Linked DNA regions of Arabidopsis thaliana. The protein of the gene in region 3 interacts with the protein of the main gene of each other region in a pairwise test. Each region holds a gene or a part of one and is shown on either strand. Other genes may lie near its edges. The genes, in order: CAX1, SUC7, CAT6 and ESL1.

Region 1 (6,551 bases), on a different chromosome or scaffold from region 3:
GAGTGATAATGGCTAAAAAGGAGGAAGAAGAAATTTTACAGAGATTGATTCAGTCGTATATTCACGAAACTGCCACTGTTCTGATTTCTCAGGTGTTCTTTAAAATTTTTTCTGGAGGTGGAGCGTTAGGAGAGGGTATAGATGTAAATAAAGTAGGGCCTAGTGAATGAATCTAAGATCTGAACCGTTGGATATACAACGGCGATTGACTGATTTGACGGTTGATATTTGAATTGGACTGACCAATGAAGCAGCCTCGTTTTTCGTGTGAATTCAAACTCTTCACTTCATTTATTTGTTTTGCAGATATAAATCTAAATGGCCCAATAGCTTATTCATTGGGCTTTTAACCCACAAAAGCTCACCAATAAAGGTCTGACCCTTTTTTTTTTCTGACATTCTCAATCCCACCGAAGGTCTGATTTTGACTTGATGAGATATATGATTATTTGAATTTGGATTTCTATTGGTAGAAACAATGTTCTACCTCGATTATAAAGGAAAATCAAAAATTCCATTTATTTATAGTTTTATAGTATTGACTACTCAGAAAAAATGATAAAACCATTAATAAAAAGAGATAGAACATTTGACACAAGACATTCATAGATAGTTCATTGCAAAACCCACCCACAAGAAGAATTTATAAAGTTCTCAAAACTCATCTTCATCAAGACACCCAACATTTTTGAAAAATGAAATAATACTCACTGAATCTCAGGAATCTCTCTGACAAATCTTTCAATATTTATAAATGAATCAAGAAAATTGGTTTTTGTTTTCCTTTCTCCATTGTCTCTCGCTTTGGAAATTTTGTTTCAACACATTGGTACTTGTCTTCGTTTAAGATGAGAAAACTCCTCCTCCTGTTGCAGTGACGACATTGTTCATCGCTTGATGTCCCAAGTGAATGGCATTTTGTTCTGAAAGATAAAATTATCACAATTTGGTGTTAGGGAATAATTATCATTGTCAATCTAGTAGTAGCATGTAGTATGTAGTAATCTTATTAAATTGGAACCCACCCCAATTAATTTTAAACCTATTTATACCCAATTAATTGACGGTTTTTGCAAGAAAACGTGGATTTTGTGAGAATTTTTTTTTTTGTGAAAAAACAATGAACGTGAAGACCAAATGTTTTTAGTGAGAGTTGTTATCTTCTTCGAGAATTTCAACATTTTTCAACATTTTCTCTTAGTTTCCAGGGATATTTATTTTTCACTAGCCTATGTAGTTTCACAAACTTTTCAATAAAAGTTACAATCACATAAAACAGAATTTCGCAGTTTAAACGGAAAATGTTATTTTTCGGTTTTGGCGGAAGCAACAGTTATGCAGTTTTTGACAGTAAAATTATAATTTTTGTTTGTTTTTGAATTAAAAAAATAAAATATAAGTTTTATTACTATTTTACTTTAGTTATTAAGATATTACTCAAAAATTAGTAAAGAGACTCGTCATAAAGAAAAGCATTTATTTATGTTAAAACTTAGTTAATAAATAAATATAATTGGGGGAACCTATTTAACCCGTTTTAACTTTATTTGATGAAGCATTTCCATTTGATATATGGGTGTTGTATGCCTCAATTATTGTTTTCCCTAATAATAGCATGCATATACATTTGAAAACTAACTCACTCTGGGGAAGTTTGTCGACGAAGAAACAGATGGCAATAATGAAATAGCAAAGCAAGAGGACCAGTCCCTTCATGTAGTGAGAACTCCCATCCTAAAGAACCACAAAACATAACAAAAATATTTAACCCTCAATACTTGGATCATCCATTAATTTGTCTAGTGGATTAATAATTTTGTAAGGTGTCGAAAAATGCTTAACCTGTAATGTGAACGCTGTGATGATTATGGAAACAGCAAGACAGCCAGTTTCGAGGGGACCAAAATTGAGATCCATATTAATTCCCAAAATCCACGCCACGATGATGGTCAAGGGGACAACGAATAAGCCAATCTGAGTCGCAGAGCCTAACGCAACTCCCAAAGATATGTCCTAGAAATTATTTGGATTGATATAAGTTCTTGCATTGTGTCATTATATAATAGATCTCGGGATCGATTAAAAGCGATAATTTTAAGGAATAAAATCGAACTTACAAGCTTGTTCTTAAAGGCAAAAATAACGGCTCCAGCATGTTCAGCTGCATTTCCAACAATAGGAAGCAATATGATGCTTATGAAACTCACTGATAAGTTCCATTTATCCGATGCTTCCTAAACAAAGTTGACGTTATATTAGCGAGCATGTTTCCAACTCAAAACCAATTGGCGATAAGTGTATTTACTATAATGTTTTAGTTGATCATGTCAGTTTCAATGTGGAATTCAAAAGAGTTACCTCAATCGTGGCTACAACATACTCCGATAGCAATGCGATAACGAGTGTCATCCCAACCAACCATGCAAAACCGCTCCAAAAACTAATCACCGCGGTTTCTTGCTCCACATCGTCATCATACTCATCTTCCTGTACCAAATTTCGTATCAAAGATCCATTAGAATACAATAATATATATCGCTACTATATAACATTCTTCTGTTATCTTGTGTGTATAGATTTCAGTTACCTGTTCTTGTGCATCGAACAATTGGCGGTGAGTCCACAGTTGGAAAACAAGATATGCAATGTAGCTGATCAACATAACAATACTGAAGCCTCGCGATATACTCAGTTGCATGTCGGACAAAACAGCAGCCGAAGCCTCTCCGTTTTTCAAGTATCCCACCAACAATGGCAGCAAGTGACACAAGAAACCCAGTAGAAGTAAGAAGAAGTTCACATCGGCTTGTTTCTGCAACAATGACCACACAAATTGATTTCGTTTAGCATATCCGTTATTAAAATTTGGTTCAAACATACCACTTGCTTGTTTATCAAGCTAAACTTTTAAACAAAATCCTGGTTAACACTAGCCGTACAAAACCTATTTCATTCCCGGTTCAATTATCTTAACTAAAAAAAATATTATTGGTTTTGAAATTAAAGTTGAACCGAAGTTAAAAGGGAAGTCATACCCGGTCGAACCGCTGTTCCCTTCGGATATTAGCGATTCCTCCACAGAAGAGTGAAGTCCCTAGAACCAATAAAAGGTTCGACAAAATCGAACCTAGCAGCGAATATTTCACCACTGCGACTTTGTTATTGGTCAAAGCAAGAATCGCGATTATCAATTCAGTCGCGTTTCCACACGTTGCGTTCAATAGACCACCCACTGCGGTTCAAAAACACACAGAAAAAATAAATGAGTTTCTACTGATAAAATAAGTAAATAACGTTTGTAGATTGGAATAAGAATAGTTGGTAAAGAAAACGTTACATGTAGGACCGGTGTAGAAAGCTAGTTGCCTGCACGAGAATCACGAGAGAATGTGAATAATAAAGTTACCACACGAAAAAAAAACTTTTTATGGCGTCACTTGATAAGATGATTCTAGATAATCTCAATGTACTTGATTAGATGATAGAGTTTGTACTATGCTGTCACGTTGACATATGAGTGTCAAATAATTGTGTGTGGTTGTAATAAAAAACCAATCATGCATTGCCGAATCCCCAAAGAATATTGGTCCATGTCCATTTATTTCAAAAAGCATAAATTATGGTGGAATTGGACCTAACTAACGTGATCTTCATGATTATAACCCCTAAGATTTAAAGCAAGTAGTGGGAAAAACTGCAAACTTAGTGGAAAGTATTATGGAGCAACGATAAGTATTACAATGAGTGGTTGGTAACTAGATTTATTTGAAAGAGAGAAAAAAGTATTGATATAACGTGATCTTTTTAACTACAGATGGATAGATACGATTCATTTTATCGACAGTTGGCTAAATTTTGTCACGATCGATAAGAAAATGTCGTAATGTGAAGAATTCAAATTATAGAAATATGTAAATGGATAAAATAAGAGATGATGGTCGGATACTTACTCTGTCAAAAAGCTGACTCGCTCAGCCAAAGGTGTCAGTCCTAGCAAGCTAAGTCCAAATATCCAAGGCTGTAATAAAAATCACGATTTAGTACCATATATTATGTACATGTATATACGTTACAAGATACACCAAAGTTTAATTTTAAAACATCAATGACTACAAATCTAATTTAATAGTAACCGGTAATTAGTAATTTGGATTAGATGTAATTTGGATTAGATGTAATGAAATATCTTAAATACTAATGACAAATTGATAAAAATCTGTAGGCGTTTCGTATTCTAACTCTTTTTGCGAATATTTTGAATGATGTTCTCAATGTATTATCAATGAAACAGCGGAAAAATATGTGTACCTGACTGACGCCACAATAGGTGCAAATAATGGCGGCAGGAATGGCCGGAAAAAGAATGGCAAGCTTTGTTCCGAGAATGACTTCTTGGAGATTAGAGAGAAAATCTTTAAGACCTTTGTATGGAACCTTCTGAATCACTCGGAGGTCTGATTTTTTCCTCAAAGAAGAAGAAGACATGTTGTGAGCGGTTCTTCCAAGTCTTAGTTCTCTGCTCGATCCTTTCGCCGTTATGCTTGGGTTTCCGTTCTCAGCTACTGACCACGGCTCTGTCACGATTCCCGCCATTTCTCTACTGACTCAAAACTTTGTAAATTCTGAGACACAAACGAAGGTTTTTTTGTGTCTCTTCGAATTTTGCTTTGCTGATTCTTTATGTTTGTTTTGTAAAGAAATGGCGTCATGATTTGTTTAAATACTACTGATTAGTTTTGTTTATTGGGTCCACCAAGGCAACTTCCACGAAGTTTCCCAAGTTTCCCTTTGAGATTTTAATTATTTAATTTTTTGGGATTTATGGTTTTAATATTTGGAAACCAAAATCAGAAATGGTTAATATAGATCTTGCAGTTGAAAGTTGTAACACATGGCTCTCAAATCTTGATTTTTGGGAAATAACTCTTTGGAAATCATACTAAATTATAAAGTTAATTTTGCTTAGTAATATATTTATCTAATAGCAAAAGAGTTATGTGATGGTCTTATCTTTCATTACTAAGCAAGGAATATGTTGAAGACTAAAATTTGATTTTCACATTCAATGGTGTTTGGAAAGGAAAAACTATGTAAGGAAAAATATATACTATAAAATCAAAAATTCATTAGTATCCTAAAAATCATTGATTAAATAATCTTCTTATTGATGTTATTTGCCTTCTTTACAAGTTTTGAGATAGCTACAAAAAAAAAAGTAAAACCAAAATCTATAACTTAAAAATATACTATATCTCAAGTCTCCGTACAACTCTTCAAGTGGAAATGTGGAGACTAGAAACAGTCGAACTCTTTTTGACCCAAGGTTTTAGTAAAAAGGTCTACTAGTTGCGTGGGTGTCAAGACATTTTTTGTCAACATGGTCCTTCAGAGAAGTTCGTCGGTGATGAATTGTTATCGAACCATGATTCATTAGCCACTCCAGTAGGTTGGTATGACATGAATGACCGAAAATGAGAAACCTAAAAATGAAATTAAAAAATAAAAAAAAGCCTTGAAAACTGGTTATACACAGTAAACCGGAGAATTCAAGACACCCGGATCTGTACTTCTGTATCAAAATGAAATTCACATACGAAAACAAATTAGCGTCGCTATAAGTCTATAACACATGCTTTAAGAGTATTCTTTAGAATATCCTAAGGGTCCAAATTGTGTCGTTAGTACGAATGCGATGTTGATGGTTTTGCCATGTGGCTTTTTCGGTTAACGAGGAGGTAATAGCTTCATAAAAGGCAGAAGGTGGCTGGTGGCTTTTGTTCGCTAGTGTTTATTATGTTTAACTTCTAGCATGATGTTATTTCATATTCATCTATAAAATTATGATTTAAATCAGGGCCATAGAAGCTCACGGCTGAAGCTACGGCTGTTCTTCACGCAATTCGTCACGCCATCGCTCTTGGAATTTTGACAAATTCACTTTGTTTCTGATTTGTCTCAAATCAGAAATATTGACTTTGTCGAAACAAATCAGTAAACTTTCTTTATCGTTCCAAATTTATTGGATGTCATCGATATTTAATTAGGACCTTAGATCTAACTATAGGGATAAAAATAGGGTTATCTAAAGTCAATTACGCTCCAAAACATTATAATGACTTTGCTACCACCATCGAGTCTATACCATTAAATAAGAGTATTGGAGATTTTGGAAAGATGTCATGAATAAATCAAGGATCGATGAATTTAAACTATACTGTGTGGTGGTGCGTAATTAAATGATATTTTAACTATATATAATTATATATTGTGCAACAACGTAAATAAATCCTTTTAAGATGATTTCTTATACATTGCGTAATGCATCCCTATCAATTGTTCCTTTCCTTAAGTTCTTTCTCCTAACTCAATGGCCTAGAGAATCTTAGATTATAGCGCCCCTAGTCCCGGATAACTAAATTTTCATTATAAAAAAAGATCATAAGTGATCTATCTATGCTTTGTCCAAAGAGAAAAAAGTGTTCTATTTATGTAGTCCTCGTCCATTGATAACGATTGAGCCTGAGAATTTAAATAGATCAAAGATTCAAAAT
Region 2 (4,392 bases), on a different chromosome or scaffold from region 3:
ATTTAGCTTACGTAACTGCTTAGCTAGGCCCATTTAGATATTATTTGATACTCGGTCCAGGCCTTAATCATCCAATGTGAACACGCTATTTTCTTAGGCCGAGGTTTATTTTTATTTTTAGTCAAAGTCAAAGAAGAACGAAGAACAATGTGTTGACAACTTTGTAGCCAAATTTGGGTGTTCTTCTAGAGGGTTAACAAATCCATCCACATCAAAAAGATATATGTTATCAATTTGTTCTCTTATAAACAATGATGAATGATCTTTTGTAAACTCTGTGTGACTGTGTAACAATAGTAACAAGGACATTCATATCTAAAACTGAAAACCATCTTCAGAGTCCACATTTGGCTAAGCAATCACACATAAGTTAAAAACCATTTTGAAACAAAAACAAAAGCCAACATAAGCTCCATTCTATCAACAATGGAGCTTATGTCTTGCTTCCATCTTGGACATTATTTAGTCGAGAATAAAAACTTTCAGAAACTTAGTACAAGCGAGCTTGCAAGCTTCAGTTTTCTTATTTGATTTGTATTAAAAGAGAAATGGAATCTGTATTTGACTTAGATGGATATTCACCATCATTCTTTGTTGGTCTGCAAAATATCAAGCAAAAAACTATAAGAACCACATTCAAAAATCAGATCATGGCCTCCAAATTTTGAAGTTTAGGGGACAGATCATAATCCTTATTAGACAATACAAGATCACATATGCACGAGACTAAAAGAATGGGATCAGAACAAGCAAAAATCACAATTGTCTCAAATGATTCAAAACAGATATACTCAAAATGGTTTTAAACACACAATCTCCTGTCAAATATAACCTTTCATAATTGACTGATGATCATAAGTTGATTATAATTAGTTAGTTTCCTTTGTTTAGGCCCATATAAGAAAATATACGCTGCCCATTTTGGACTAATTTGTCGTGATAGCATCATCATCACTGTATATGGATTTAAATAATATTTTTTTGGATTTAATAAATATAATATTATTTACAAACTGAATTAAAGTTTTTATTTAATAAAACGAATACGATATTCATTTAAAAACATAAAACACTTGTTAGTGCTACAAAATTTTAGTGTAAAAGTATTTACTTATCTTTATATTATAGTCATGTTAATTTTTGTCATTAGATATTCTTTTCTTTAGTGCAAAGAGCAAAACAATTGTGAAAAAATAGAGAGAGAAAGAAAGTTCACAGGCTTCTTTACGTGATGTACAATACAAATGTGGAAATTTTGATAACGTACAGCCAAGACATTTGATTTTGCTATATTTGGGATATAGCCGGTAGCTTTTGTAATACTGTCTAAAGCAACACTGGATGAGTCTTAATGTTGTAGACATATTTTGGGCTGTGGAAAGACTTTACAGCAACAACCAATCATCCCTTTTGGTTTTTTAGATCTCCTGTTATTCAACTAATAATTTCTAATTAAATATCTTTCTATATCCTATGTTATTAAACATGAAATACATATAAAATCATTCAAAACCATTTATAATCTCTTGTTATTCAGTTAATCATTTATAAAAGTCATACTACAGAAACAAGAAATTGAAAAATCTGTCACAATCTCAAAATAAATGATATAAAGATAAGATGATAAACTGATTACGGTTTTATTAACGTTAGTCTTGTCATTATTACAACAATCCTATAAGGATATATGCGTTATAGCATTACTATAAAAGATTTACTTTTCCAAACTATTGAAACACAGAATCAAAAAATCTATAGAAATATAAGTCTCATTTCTCTTCTCCACCTTGTCTTTAAGAGACAAGCCCACTTTCTTTCATCTCCTCAGCGCCAACAACAAACACAACCTCTAAGACAAGGGTGAAGAAGATGAGTGACCTCCAAGCAAACAAAGATGAGACGACTGTGGATAGACAGTCTTCCTCGTCGGTGGATCTTGATGGGCCATCTCCGCTGAGAAAGATGATATCGGTGGCTTCTATTGCTGCCGGTATTCAGTTTGGTTGGGCTCTTCAACTGTCTCTGCTTACTCCATACGTGCAGCTTCTTGGAGTCCCACACAAATGGCCATCTTTCATTTGGCTTTGCGGTCCTGTCTCCGGCTTGCTTGTCCAGCCATCAGTCGGTTACTTCAGCGACCGATGCACGTCAAGATTCGGACGTCGTCGTCCTTTCATCGCCACGGGTGCTTTGCTGGTCGCTGTTTCTGTTGTACTAATCGGATATGCGGCTGATTTCGGCCACAGCATGGGAGACAAAATCGACAAACCTGTCAAGATGCGAGCCGTTGTTATCTTCGCTCTCGGGTTCTGGATCCTTGACGTGGCTAACAACACTCTCCAAGGACCATGCCGTGCTTTTCTTGGTGATTTAGCAGCTGGAGACGCTCAGAAAACGCGAACGGCAAACGCGTTTTTCTCTTTCTTCATGGCCGTTGGAAACGTTTTGGGATATGCGGCAGGATCGTACACTAACCTCTACAAGATCTTCCCTTTCACAATGACTAAAGCGTGCGACATATATTGCGCAAATCTCAAGAGTTGTTTCTTCCTTTCCATCACTCTCCTCCTAGTCGTCACCATCATAGCTCTATGGTACGTGGAAGACAAGCAATGGTCGCCTAAGGCAGACTCCGACAACGAGAAAACTCCGTTCTTCGGTGAGATCTTTGGAGCTTTCAAGGTAATGAAACGTCCAATGTGGATGCTACTAATCGTCACGGCCTTGAACTGGATCGCATGGTTCCCTTTTCTTTTATACGATACTGATTGGATGGGTCGTGAAGTGTATGGTGGAGACTCAAAAGGAGATGACAAAATGAAGAAACTATACAACCAAGGAATTCATGTTGGTGCATTGGGATTGATGCTTAACTCTATCGTTCTTGGAGTCATGTCACTTGGTATTGAAGGTATTAGTAGGAAGATGGGAGGAGCTAAAAGGCTTTGGGGAGCTGTGAATATTATTCTCGCCGTGTGTTTGGCAATGACGGTTTTGGTTACTAAAAAGGCGGAGGAGCACCGGAGAATCGCCGGTCCAATGGCCCTTCCTACCGATGGCATCAGAGCTGGAGCATTGACTCTCTTTGCTCTTCTTGGAATTCCTCTTGCTGTAAGTCCAACATGTCTTTTATACAACTTTTGTTACTATTATGATCAATTTATCATTCATGGTTTAATATTTGTTAACATTTTTTTGAAACTTTTTATAGATTACATTCAGTATTCCGTTCGCACTAGCTTCTATAATATCAAGCAGCTCCGGCGCCGGTCAAAGTATTTTTAACATCTTTTTTTCCTAAAATTATTTAAACATTCTCTAGTAAATGCTAATTAAATTTGTGATTACAAAAAAAAAAAATTGAGAGATCAGTCTCCATTTATCTTCATAATTTAAGTTAATTTGGATAATAAGTTATCTAACAAAACATTTAATATAAGGTGATGTATGTAATCTACTAACTTAATTAGATTGAATATTGATGAATTGATATTCTTACGGAATTGGTTTTTATTCACCACAAGGAATTTACCATAAATTTATCAATAAAAACAACAACAATTATTTTGTGTAATATAAATATTAAAAAATCAAATTAATAATGATGTGTCTTTTTTGTTGTCATCTTTGCAGGACTTTCTCTAGGAGTTTTAAACATGGCAATTGTCATACCACAAATGATTGTATCGTTTGGAGTTGGTCCTATTGATGCGTTATTTGGAGATGGAAACTTACCAGGATTTGTGGTCGGAGCTATTGCAGCGGCAGTCAGCAGTATTGTGGCATTTACCGTTTTACCTTAAAAAGTTTATGCGTTTTATTTATTATATATGCATTTTTTAATATTATTGTAGCACTAGGTAAGGACTCTTGTATACTTAAAATTAATTTAAACTTTATTCTGTTAAATTATTAAAATTAATTTAAAATTATAGCAATTTTAACAAACAGCATAAGTTATGCTGCATAAAAAAGTTTCCCAAATTTAGCACATCATTCCCAATGTTTCAAAAATAGCACAAATGAAATATAAAACATTTTTTTATTGTGGACGTTTTATGAAAATATCATATTCGCCTAAAGATAAAAAGCTAGTCTCATATATATACTACATTTTAAAACATTTTGTTCCAAATTGACTCTTAATTTTCACGGATTTTCTTTCTTTATGGTAGATTTATTATAAGTCACAAAACTATTATATTTCGGTAATAACTATAAATAATTAAAGTATTGCTATATTTTAGCGACATTTCACATCGTTTTGGTACTTAATTATTATATCTCTTAGGAATTTTACAAAGATAGATATTACTTTCTCCTTTTCTTTTCTAATTTTGAAATACATCACTCGTTAAAACTTTACACGAAAAAAAAAAGTTATACATATGA
Region 3 (6,091 bases):
GAAATAAAAGTAGAAAAATGAAGACATCTTTAATAAACTGAAACTTTTTGTGCATGGTTCTTTGTTTACGAAAGTTCAATAGTACTATTGATATATAGAATATATAAATGCAAATAATAAAAGAATGTATAAATATCCTCAAGGAATTTGAAACAAGTGATTGTGAACAAAAAAATGAAAAAGAAAAGGTGATCTTGTTGGATATATATGAAGTTGCGGATAATGTCACGTATGTGTGTCCCGTGAGAAAGATGGGGACCCATCGTTTTCAATTGTACGCCATCTCGTATTTATGAGAGACCTATGTCTATCTAACGTTTCCATTTATTAATGTTATCTATCACATGTATATTTCATACGTGATCTTGCCTTATAGGTTTGACAAAGATTTGATCTTTCAATCTCAAAAACTTGTAACCTAATAGTTTGTACTGTATTTAAAAATATTGTGTGTTGTGAATTGTACACAACGGTAAAACAAAAATATCATCAGTTTCTCTATTCTCTCAACAGATTGACTTGCATATGACCGATTTCATTTTGGTCGTTCGTTAAACCAAAATACATATTCTTTTTTTTCCTAAAGTTGTATTTAATATTTTCTCATTAATATTTCAAACCCCCTCATGTAGAAAAAAAATTAGAGAGTTTAATTACATTTTGGTTCATGATGCTTTAGAAAACTAAACTAAATAAATACTTTTCACACTTCAATTAGCTCTTTCATGACTTGTCCATCTTTCACACCAAAAGATCCATTCGCTTCAGCATCAGAACTCGCATGAACGCCATAAAACAAATACACGAGCACGATCAAACCGGAGAAGAATCCAAACCGGACGTAAGAGGGTGCGTCCAACGAACCAAGCAAAAAAATGTTCAAGAATATCGACACGCACGGGGTCCACGGCATGAACGGGACTCCCCACAACTCAGGTTTCCTAGCCTGGGGAACCACGCACTGAAAGCTCAGCACGATGGCTATAGCCACCACCGCACTGGCACCGAGCATGAAAGCTTTAGGCTTACCTTCCGGCACAAGTTTCCAGATGAGGGTGAAGACGAGAGAGGTTATGGAGAATAGTGTGAGGAAGCAGAGTGTGGGCCACGGCTTGGTGGGTCCAACCGGGACGTAACGTCTGAAGATGAGAGCGTTTGCGACCATGTAGAAGACAAATAGTGTTCCAATGGATACGAGGTTTAGGAGGACGTTTAGGTCGGTGAAAAGCGCAAGAGCCGCCGTGAAAATGCCTGATAAGGGATAAAATATACGAACGTTAATAAGATTGGTCAATGGTCATATTCTCTATAACTGTAGATGATTCGACTAGTGAAAAAAGTCCAAATTTGAAATGAATGGTAGTGGGAGGATTTGTTCCTTTATTTTGTCTTTTTGTCAATGCTATTGATGGATATAGCAAATGTGAGTTAGTGGGTGCTAAAATTAGCAAGGATAAGGTTGAACGATGATGACCCCCTTTATAATGATCCATTTTGTGACAAAGGCATGAGAGTAACTTAATGAGGAAAACAATGCTTGTTACAAAGATTATGCATATAAATATGGCTCTAAACGTTAGTATATGTTTTCCAATCTTCTATGTATTTTATCAAAGATGGTCATTATTCTAAATCCTGGTACCTAACAACTCACGAGTTGCATAGCTCAGCCAGATGTTCCGGAAATTACGAAAAGTTGGAGTTGTCAAAATATCAGCCGACTAGGCTTAGTAGTATCTTCACAAAAAAAATGAAATAAAAAAATGATTGATTAACTACTAGTCGTCCAATGGATGACTAATAATCCAACTATCGTATTTTTATTTAAAAAAAAGTGGAATATGTATTTTTAACACTAAGGAGACACAAAAAGAACCAAAGAGACCCACCAAATCCATCACAATCAAGACCGTTGAAAAGATTGAATCTTTGAACAATCAAAAAACACGAAACTTTTCACAGAGCAGAAAAGAAAACCAGTGGTGAACAACGACATCTAGCAATCGGACTCAGATGCTCTCTCTGTGACTCTTGTCTTAAACACCATACAATGATACAAATCACATTGAACCATGTCCCTACATTGAGATATACTTACACAACGTACATAGCCCTTGTCACGATCGAAATCGATAGCAGAAGATTTTTAAAATGGTAACGTCCAAAAGCTTTTGATCTTTAAAATATATTGAAATGGACACGTATATATAATGAAATCACGTGGATCGTATGATTTAGAGAAAACGTTAAAAGTTCAAATCAATAAAAAGATCATGGAAACAACCGAAACGGTTCTCATTGGGGTCCCCTTTTAACCTAACTACTACTCCTCTATCTCACTTTCTGGACCAAAATTTATTTTTAACTATATATGATTTGATTATATTTCATCATTGTTTGTTTGACAGTAATTAAATAAATGTTTTTTTGATGAATGAATGAAGACAAAGAAACGTACCAAGAAAAGTGGAGGCGTTGACTGGCGTAGATGTTTTGGGATGAATCTTAGCGAACCAAAAGGGGACCACTCTGGACCGTCCGATGACACACATGTAGCGAGCCTGACCTAACATTGCCACCAAAAGTGATGTTAATATCCCAAAGCTTGCTCCTATCCCCACCACTTTCGTCACCCATTCCCAGCCGTTCGATCCTCTGAACGCCGCGGAAAACGGCGCCTCCGGATCTATCTGCGTTACAACAACACATGCCCCGCCGTTTTCAGCTTTAGACTCAGACTACGTGCCGTCTTTATGAAAACGGAAATATACAATAAGAAAATAATAAATTTGAAGTACGGACCAGATCGTATGGCAGAAGCATTGACATAGAGACTGCCATGAGACAGTAAAGAACGGTGACGATTGCGACGGAGCCGGAAACACCGACGGGGATATCTTTGACCGGATTTTCAACTTCTTCCGCCATGGTTGAAACGGCGTCGTATCCTATGTAGCTTAAGTAAACCATGGCAGCTCCGTTGAAAACTCCCGCCGCGCCGAACGGAAAAAATCCCGAGGGGTGCTCTGGATTCGCCGGTGAGGATAGATTCTTTGAATCTCCTTTTATGAATCCCATCACGATCACGAAGAATATGAATGCGATGTGAAATGCAGTCATTATCATGTTCACTTTGGAACTCTCTCTTGTACTGCAACAGATGATGACTGTGATTACGAGGACGACGAGAACTGCGACTGGATCAATCTCGTTGAATCCTTTCGGTAAACCGGAGACGACGAATCGCCACTTGGAAGTTGAGATCCCGAAAGCTGTTCCTAAATAAGCGGTGAAGCTTCTCGAAACGGCCGCGTTTGACATTACGTAATCCATTACAAGATTTGCTCCGGTGAAAAATGCTGGAAATTCACCTGAACGGAAATGTAACAGAAAAGAAATCAGTTACGGTTTTTGATTTTGAAATTAAAATTTTCAGAAAACCGTGAACAGATCGGAGGAGTAGTGATGATTTTCGCGGGAGACTAACCGAATGTGATACGGATGTAGCTGAAGGCACCGCCGGCGACCGGGAGATGGACGGCGAATTCGGTGTAACAGAAAGCGGAGAGGAGAGCGCAGAGCCCGGCGATGGCGTAAGAGACGACAATTGAAGGACCGGCGTCGAGACGACTAGCACGGCCGGTGGTGACAAAGACACCGGCGCCGACCATTCCCCCGATTCCGAGTCCAATGAGATCGTACCACCGGAGAGTACGGCGCATCTGTTCGCCGGAGACGGCGCGGACGCGACTCATCTCGTCGGAAGAGGTGGAGACGGAAATAGCGCGGCGGGATAAGCGAGAAGGCGTCGCGGAAAGAGAGTTGAGGTAGACGCGGAGACTGGAGAAAGAAGAGTGACCACCATTGTTGCTGCTGCTTTGGACCTCCATTTTCTCACCGGCCAGATTCGGGTCGGGTCGGTTTGTGTGAGAATTTTGTTGAATTTGACAAGAGTTGGTTTTATATTAGAGATTAGGAAAAGTGAAAAAGAGAAGGATAGGGACAAAGATGTAATTATGACGATACTTAAGGGCATTTAAATGTTATAAGTATTGTTATTAACAACAAGATTGTTCCCTAATTCTTATATTCACATTAATCACATAAGCATCATCAGCTCAAAAGCTTACTAAACCCAAGATGCTTTATCTCTTTGGTCCAATTACAGTTACATTTATATATACTAATTATGCTAACGCTTTTATTGATTCATATACAAATCATAAACTAGTTTGGTAGTATATAGTATGTATTCACATCTAGCTAAGCTTGTAAACTATTTTTGTTGACCATAAACCACTAAAATTGGTATTTTATTAAATATCATTAGACTGCTGAGTTGTAACAGAGTGGCATTTCCTATGGTTATCTTATTTTGTTTTGTTTTTTAAAAAATAGGAAAAAAATGAATTACGGTTTTTATTGAAGAATATTCTTTTTTTTTTACTACTTATCATTAATTGTTAATAACACTCTTTATTGTTTAAATTTATAGATTTGTACTCAATTATTTATATTTAAAAAAAATATCTCAACACTATAACACCATATAAACATTCTAATAAGATATGTTTTTAAACAACATTATTAGTATATTTCAAAATGGTCAAAATATTTCGAACCTGAGAAATGAACTTTTTAATCATAAATATGTCATTGGAGAATCATTCCCACATTTTTCCTTGAAATGAGGGTCTAAAATTGATGTTATTATAGACAAAATTTTGTAATTGCGTTCCTTGTAATTGATAGGGAATTAGTACTAATTAATGAAATTAATACCATAATTGTGTCTATGACTATGATCGGTTGTTTGAAACGTAACGACTCTCTGCTTCAAAAGCTCTTCCTTACTTAGTTCCCGAGGTTATGAAACCGTCACGGACGTTAAAAAGAAAAAACTAAACAAACGGCGTTAACTTCCGTATATCATAAGACACGGTAACGACGTTACCTCTAACGGCTATGTGTGGTTTAAGATTCACACGTGTGGCAAAGAAGGTGACACGTGGGATGTTGTTTTGTTTTCAATGGATAAGCACACAGGTTTAAAGCGAAGCGTGACCAGAATTTGAGGAAATGAGTTTTTGTAATTAGTTGGTTCTTTTCGACAATCTTCTCATTTTTTATAGTTGGCAACTTGGCATTACTAGGAAAATATTATCGCATATTTGCAGCTAATTAAGGTCTTCTTCAACTGATTTTGTCTCTGCATTTAAATGTTTTAAAACGAGGACACGAATAGTTTGGTACTTAGAGGAATAAATAACCGCAAATCTTGTGTTGGTACAGTTTGTAACTTAGTAATTTGTTTTAGTGTTAGTGCCGTGTTATTTGATAGTATGTGTGAGTGGTAATATGCATGAGTGAGTTCTTGAAAAAAAAGATGAGTGATCTGTTCTCTGTGATAAGGGCAACGCAACATGTTTGCAGGTTGTATCATGATCCTGATGAGTATTCTCCATAGAGAAATCGGCATTAGACTCGACGCTTTAAGATGAAGAAGAAGCAATGGATTGACTGATTTTATTTTCATGGGTCGAACTCGGAGCCTTTGATGCTGTTCACTGAAATCCAAAATCCAAAATCACCAACACCACCAACTAACCGCATGTGTATATGTAATCCAAAATCAACACTATTTTTACCACACCAAAACTCACTATAAGGTTAATTCGAATAGAACTCATCTAACCATCTATGAAACTTGATTAAAAAGTGTTGTAGAATGATTTGTGTATGTTTATGTAAAAGTTCTATCGCTCCCAATCATACCCGTAACTGGATACACGTTGCAATTGATCTTTTTATTTTTTGGTTGGCCGCGCACTGCATTGAATTAACACTACCTTATCCAAACAAATAGTATTAAATATCTACTTCAATCGAACACTCTTAAGCCTCTCTTTGTTCACAATAATGATAATTAGATTAGTGTCAGCAACGTTGACACATATTCGTATCTACAACACACATACGCATACATTTATATATAAATTAATTTCGACAAGAATAAATTATGACTTGTATGGTCACCAATAAGTCTCACATTTTTGGGTACACAAAAGAGTAATAATGAAATAAATAAAAA
Region 4 (5,555 bases), on a different chromosome or scaffold from region 3:
ATATATTTACTAAATGACTAAAAATTCAATAGTTTTAACGAACAAAGAAAAAAAAAGTCAAGATAATTGAAATATCAGAAAGGTGGTTAAACAATTAAAGGATTGATCTTTATGATGTATGCAAATAGATCAACAGATGCACGTAACCTACCACAAATCTGGTTGGCACAGCGATAGCTTAATTACGTCTAGGGAGAGAATTAGAAAACCTCATTTTCGGAACCTTAAAAGGAAATAAATTGTCTTTATTCTTTACTAACTTTTAGAGAGGATAAGAATTAACCTAGTTTTATTTGTTGCCCTATCACTATCCGTATCTGAAAACCCTATGCTATCGAGAAAATATAAAAAAGAACAATGATTTTTGAAAAGGAAATATCTCACAAATCAATTCAACTTTTAGGAATGAGGCCGGAAATGTGGAACACATACAGAACAAATAAGTCCGAAAGTAGAAACTGTGGGTCTACAGGTTTCAGAGAACTGGTAGATTGATTAATAGCATTAGCAACTAGTAAAAGTAAAAAAAAAAAATGTTAAATATACAATGAAAGCAAAAAGCCAATACCTTAAAGTTCAATTTTATATTTCTTTTTTTTGGGTGTAAAACTGGGACTATACTATACATACATTGGGCTAATTTACTGAGACAGAGAGATATCTAAACCTTATGTTCAAGTGATCTCTTTCTCAATTGCACATCAAATGAGGTAACAATTACAACAAAAAACTATAAACCTCCCCCCAATTGTAATCTAAGAAAAAATGAATAACTTTAAACAAGTCAAACTTGATCTCATTGTAGAAAATCTGTAAGAGAAGCTTGTATATCTTCCAATGTTCTTCCTTTAGTTTCGGGTACCATCGCATAAATAAAGACTATACCCGCACCACATATAGTAAAGAAGATCAAGAACGTTCCTGAAACAGATTAATATATTTCAAAAATTAAATCAGATTAAAGATCTAATTTTTTTTTGAGAGTTTAATGACTCTATAGTATATTATATAGTAGTATGTATTTATACCTGATGCGTTCCACTCTAGCATGAAGTTGTAGGCGAAAGCAACAATCCAACCAAAGGACCAGTTGGCTAAGGTAACCAGAGTCCCAGCAGAAACTTTAACATTCATTGGGAATATCTGCAAAATAAAAAATGTAACATTTTTTAGAGCTGGAAAAAATATATATATGTCGGTTTTTGAGGAGTTAATGTTAATGTTCATGTTTGTTTACCTCAGACATGATGATCCATGGTAAGCCTCCCATGCCTACGGCAAATGAAGAGATGAAACCCTGTAATATGATGTCAAATTCAGATCAAGTTATACAAGAGCTATACTTTAAGTTGCTTGTTTATTATGTCTAAGAAATGACTTTAAACGTACCACTACACCGATACATGTGAAAATCGGAGTGAGCTCATCAAGCATGCCATATGACTGTCCAAGAACAAAAGTAGAAAAATTTTAGTATAACTGGTAAGAATCTCCAATAAACAGCAGCAAAAAAAGTTTGTATATATCTTTGGTTAGAAAGCGAATCGTTAATGTTAATTACCCGAAAGCAGAAGGAAAAACTGAGGAGCAAGCTGAAAAAGCACATTCCACCGGTAGAGGCCTGTAAATAAAGATCATTCATCTGTTAAAAGATATATGCTAAATTTTGTTGCTTCATTTGATATTTGACCAAAAGATCAGATAGCAAAATCTTACCAATAGAAGTGGTCTTCGTCCCATTTTCTCAACCAAAATCAGACCCAATAGAGCTTTTGGTATCTACAAAAGCAGAACACATGAGCATAAGTGTACTTCTTGGCAAGATTTTTCACGAATAAATGAAACTACGTACAAAGACATACCATGATCACTGCAAGAATCATTGAGCCAATGCTGCTTGGAAACCCTGCCATTAGTAAGAAAATATTTGTTACTCCCAAATGAAGACAGTAAATTATCGTAACATGCGAAACAGAGTTTGTTTATCTATTTACCTCCTTTATCAAATACGCTACCGACATAGTACATAAGTCCTGAGCTTCCAGAGAGTTGTTGTAGAAGCATTAGTCCCACACCAATCTGAACAAAATGTCACAAACTTCAGAGAGTAAGTATAACGGTACAAGAGAAAATCAACTTTTTTTGTCACAAAACGTTTGAGAATAAACTTACAACAACAGATGGAGCATATCTTCTCTGAAACAAATCCATAACCCGCGATTTTGGTCCTTCATCAAACAAGATCATGGTTTCCTATAGTTGACATTTCCAATGATTTGTTCATTAGTCATGTTTTATTGAAAACAACACAATTTAAAAACAGAGAGATGTGTGAAAAGTTGCAATACTTTGATAGTGTTGGCTTCTTCAGAGATATCTGCATCATCTCCGCGAAGACTTTGCAATGAAGCTCTACATTCTTTTTCATGTCCCCATTTTCCCTATACACCATTGTAAACCATATTGAGTTTTACTTCACACTTTTTTTAAAAAAGATCAAAACTTAAAAAGGGCTAAACGTACCAGTAGTCTAGGGGACTCTGGAATAAAGAACAAAGTCACAACTTGCAACGCACATGGAATGAGACCTGAGAGACAGAAACCGATAAACTTAAATCACTTCTTGATGAAAATTTCATAACTAACCTGCTAGAAAGAAAAAAAGGATTAGGAAGAAGCTTACCGATTAAGGCCAAGTTACGCCAATGAACAAAATTTCCAATGACGTAGAATAAAGACAATCCACAACTCTGCATCAGCTGTAACGACATTTGAACAAATTTTAAGAACATTAGTATAATATATATCTTTTTTATTTTATGGTTATAAGAATTTATTCTCTAATTATTCTTTAGTTTACCTGATTAGCAAATACAAACGCTCCTCGAACATGTTTTGGTGTTATTTCTGCAATGTAAACTGGTATCTGAAGGCAACAGAGTTAACACAAAGTCAGTAAAAATAAATAAGTATATAATACACAAAATAAATGGAAAAAAAGAAAGTAAAAGAATTATTACCACATAGCTTAATAAACCAACTGCAAATCCTGTGGATAGTCTTCCAATATCAAGCCACATGGAGTCTTTTGCTAATGCTACTGCAACCCAACCGAAGATGCAGAAAATTTGAGCAAACCACATAGTCTGTTTAAGAGAAAAATTCATCAGTACATGATCTTGAAACATATGTTTGTATGAATTTCAAATTGTCAGGAAATTTACCCCTTTTCGACCCATGAGATCTGCAACTTTCCCGCTGAAGATGGCACCAATCATTCCTCCAAAAGTCATGATTGAACCAAACATGGAGTACTGAAGTAGTAAACAAAAACAAAAAAACAGAGTAATTTAAGCAAAACTAGCACTTTTTGAGTAAAGATTCAAGAAAAGAGAGAGGGTTGCTTCTTACTTGTGCAACAGAGAGACCTAAATCATTTATGATCCCTGTTTGAGCAACTGATGAATAACCTGCCTGTAAAATCCAACCCCAAACTTTCAAATCACAGAGCAAAACAAACAGAGAAATTGTTTTAAAAAAAAGATGAGTGATTTGATGACTAACCGCACAACCGAAGCAGAAAGAGCCACAAACAGAAACGAAAGTACTGAAAAGTACAACAGCAGTGATACGACATTCGTTGATGTCGTTTTGGTTCTTCCTCAGTAGCAAACCAGCTTCCAAGTTTCTTGAGTTCTCCGACATCGTCATCTTTAACTTCTCCACGGAGAAAGAACAGAGAGAGTTTTGTTGAAAGGGTTCTGAAGTTATATTTACGAATAAATATTTGCTTTTTTGTCTTCCATAAGAGGACTGAGTTTAAAGCTGATTTATATTCCTTGATTAATGGAGGAGGAAAGGCAGAGGTCAGCTTCCCCAATCTTTTCTTTTGTGTCACGTTTCTGTTGGGGTTTTATTCAATTTTATATACACGTATTTTGTTTTTTAATTTGAAATTGTATCTTCTTCTGTTTTCCTTATTTAAATTTTTAAATATTGTGTAATTTGTAATTGGACTGGCGTATGAATTTTTTGTTGTCAATACGTATGATATTTATTTTTGTTTACTTTTTTTTTTTCTTGGCCGACAGGCGAATGATATTTATTTAAAAGTTTTGCCTTTTTGAAAGAATATTTATTTAAAGTTATGTGATTCATCATCATCTTTATGAAATTGTGTTTTGTGTCTTAGTGGATGCTTTGATTATTTTATGCTAGTTGTTATCCACTCTTTATTTATTGGGTAATTTTGAAGGTGGTCCCTATACCGAATCAAAACCGTAATTGGGTGAAATTTTGTGATGAATTTTATGTAAGTGAATGTCTAGATACATTTATGAATCCGTTTTACATAAACCAGTTTAGTGTTAACCGGTCTAATTAAGTTTTTCTTTTCTTTTTTTGTTTAAGCTTTGGTTTTGTCTTTTTGGTCTGTTTTTTTTTTATATATAACCAAACAATGTAACTATTTTGTTCTCAAAATAAAATAAAAATAAACAATAAACACATGCCACATGTTCTACCGTTATCTAAAGATCAGGATATCCTAGCTACTATATTCTTATCCATGGAGCAAACCAGATAAAAAAAGTTTTTTTTTTTGTGTGTGTGTCTTTTTGTTATGGTCCAGTTCAATAACCAATAACCATTTGTTAGTCATATTTGATTCAGATTTTTTTCCCAAACTATTCCTTAGACAATCTGACGTCATTACTAAACAAAAATCATCCTCAATAATTTAAAACACTGAAATATCCGATAATTATTTAATATTTTAATTCTAATTTAAAACACTAAATATTATTATTTTTTGAATTAATGAATCGAGCCAAATTAATCATCTATTTAGAATCGTCTAGAGCGTATACGTACTATTTTGGTTTTAATAGAAGTGTGATCATTTGAGAAAATCCAATGTATTTTTTTCCAAAAAAATATTATTTAATTACCCATAGTCAAGATTAATTATAAATAATATACAACAGAATTTTGTCAATGTAAAGCTAATTTGTTTATTAACTCGAGTATAAAATGTCAAACATTATATTGAAAAACGAGTTCTTAAATAATCTGGATAAGAGTAAAATACAATATTTCTTACGTGAATAACCAACTTACAAATATTATACTACCTACGTAGTTAATCAATTCATCACAAATTGATATGAGTTGTCACACTTGCTATAGTTTCCATGCAATAAATAGTAAACGCGTTGATCGTGGTTTGTTTGAAGTTTACATAAAAAAAAAAAAGTCGTGCACGTTAGCTATTGCGTTAGAGAAAATGATACAACTCAACATTCCTTGTAAGCAAATCTAGAAACTACTACATATCCATTTTTCAAATGTCTTACGTTCAATCAACGGTTTCCCCTCACACTTCTTCATATATTTTGACATTTTTGTCAATATCTAATTTGATACGACAGACTTTTCTCTTTCTAGTTGCGGACACAAGGAATCATCAACAACCTTTGAATTTTCCCGGCAAAAAAGGTATTTGTTGTCCTATCTCATTCTATCAATAAAAAGGAAAAAAGATCAAAGGCAGTTTT

The links.
Region 1: the proteins of CAT6 (region 3) and CAX1 interact in a protein complementation assay, tested with the Arabidopsis thaliana proteins (one large-scale study listed by BioGRID).
Region 2: the proteins of CAT6 (region 3) and SUC7 interact in a protein complementation assay, tested with the Arabidopsis thaliana proteins (one large-scale study listed by BioGRID).
Region 4: the proteins of CAT6 (region 3) and ESL1 interact in a protein complementation assay, tested with the Arabidopsis thaliana proteins (one large-scale study listed by BioGRID).

The regions. Positions count from the first base shown.
Region 1 is NC_003071.7:15,988,586-15,995,136, forward strand, and holds CAX1 (cation exchanger 1), read right to left. Parts: upstream 4,701-6,551; 5' UTR 4,594-4,700; coding exon 4,309-4,593; intron 4,019-4,308; coding exon 3,951-4,018; intron 3,367-3,950; coding exon 3,338-3,366; intron 3,233-3,337; coding exon 3,036-3,232; intron 2,813-3,035; coding exon 2,588-2,812; intron 2,488-2,587; coding exon 2,359-2,487; intron 2,235-2,358; coding exon 2,118-2,234; coding exon of another isoform or gene 2,014-2,117; coding exon 1,843-2,013; intron 1,735-1,842; coding exon 1,528-1,734; 3' UTR 924-1,527; coding exon of another isoform or gene 844-923; 3' UTR 507-843; downstream 1-506. UniProt on the Arabidopsis thaliana protein: Vacuolar cation/proton exchanger (CAX). Translocates Ca(2+) and other metal ions into vacuoles using the proton gradient formed by H(+)-ATPase and H(+)-pyrophosphatase. Involved in ion homeostasis in association with CAX3.
Region 2 is NC_003070.9:24,834,720-24,839,111, reverse strand, and holds SUC7 (sucrose-proton symporter 7), read left to right. Parts: upstream 1-1,670; 5' UTR 1,671-1,869; coding exon 1,870-3,111; intron 3,112-3,211; coding exon 3,212-3,275; intron 3,276-3,633; coding exon 3,634-3,803; 3' UTR 3,804-3,868; downstream 3,869-4,392. UniProt on the Arabidopsis thaliana protein: May be responsible for the transport of glucosides into the cell, with the concomitant uptake of protons (symport system). Does not seem to transport sucrose.
Region 3 is NC_003076.8:1,376,917-1,383,007, reverse strand, and holds CAT6 (cationic amino acid transporter 6), read right to left. Parts: upstream 4,388-6,091; 5' UTR 3,891-4,387; coding exon 3,488-3,890; exon of another isoform or gene 3,372-3,487; coding exon 2,803-3,371; intron 2,691-2,802; coding exon 2,459-2,690; intron 1,738-2,458; coding exon of another isoform or gene 1,706-1,737; exon of another isoform or gene 1,252-1,705; coding exon 704-1,251; 3' UTR 530-703; downstream 1-529. UniProt on the Arabidopsis thaliana protein: Permease involved in the transport of the cationic neutral or acidic amino acids.
Region 4 is NC_003070.9:2,865,602-2,871,156, reverse strand, and holds ESL1 (ERD (early response to dehydration) six-like 1), read right to left. Parts: upstream 3,899-5,555; 5' UTR 3,712-3,898; coding exon 3,565-3,711; intron 3,475-3,564; coding exon 3,412-3,474; intron 3,315-3,411; coding exon 3,225-3,314; intron 3,147-3,224; coding exon 3,021-3,146; intron 2,927-3,020; coding exon 2,861-2,926; intron 2,760-2,860; coding exon 2,684-2,759; intron 2,589-2,683; coding exon 2,524-2,588; intron 2,442-2,523; coding exon 2,349-2,441; intron 2,254-2,348; coding exon 2,173-2,253; intron 2,080-2,172; coding exon 1,995-2,079; intron 1,907-1,994; coding exon 1,863-1,906; intron 1,780-1,862; coding exon 1,717-1,779; intron 1,643-1,716; coding exon 1,562-1,642; intron 1,444-1,561; coding exon 1,390-1,443; intron 1,298-1,389; coding exon 1,238-1,297; intron 1,144-1,237; coding exon 1,029-1,143; coding exon of another isoform or gene 967-1,028; exon of another isoform or gene 927-966; intron 922-926; coding exon 797-921; 3' UTR 501-796; downstream 1-500. UniProt on the Arabidopsis thaliana protein: Sugar transporter. Transports monosaccharides across the vacuolar membrane independently from a proton gradient.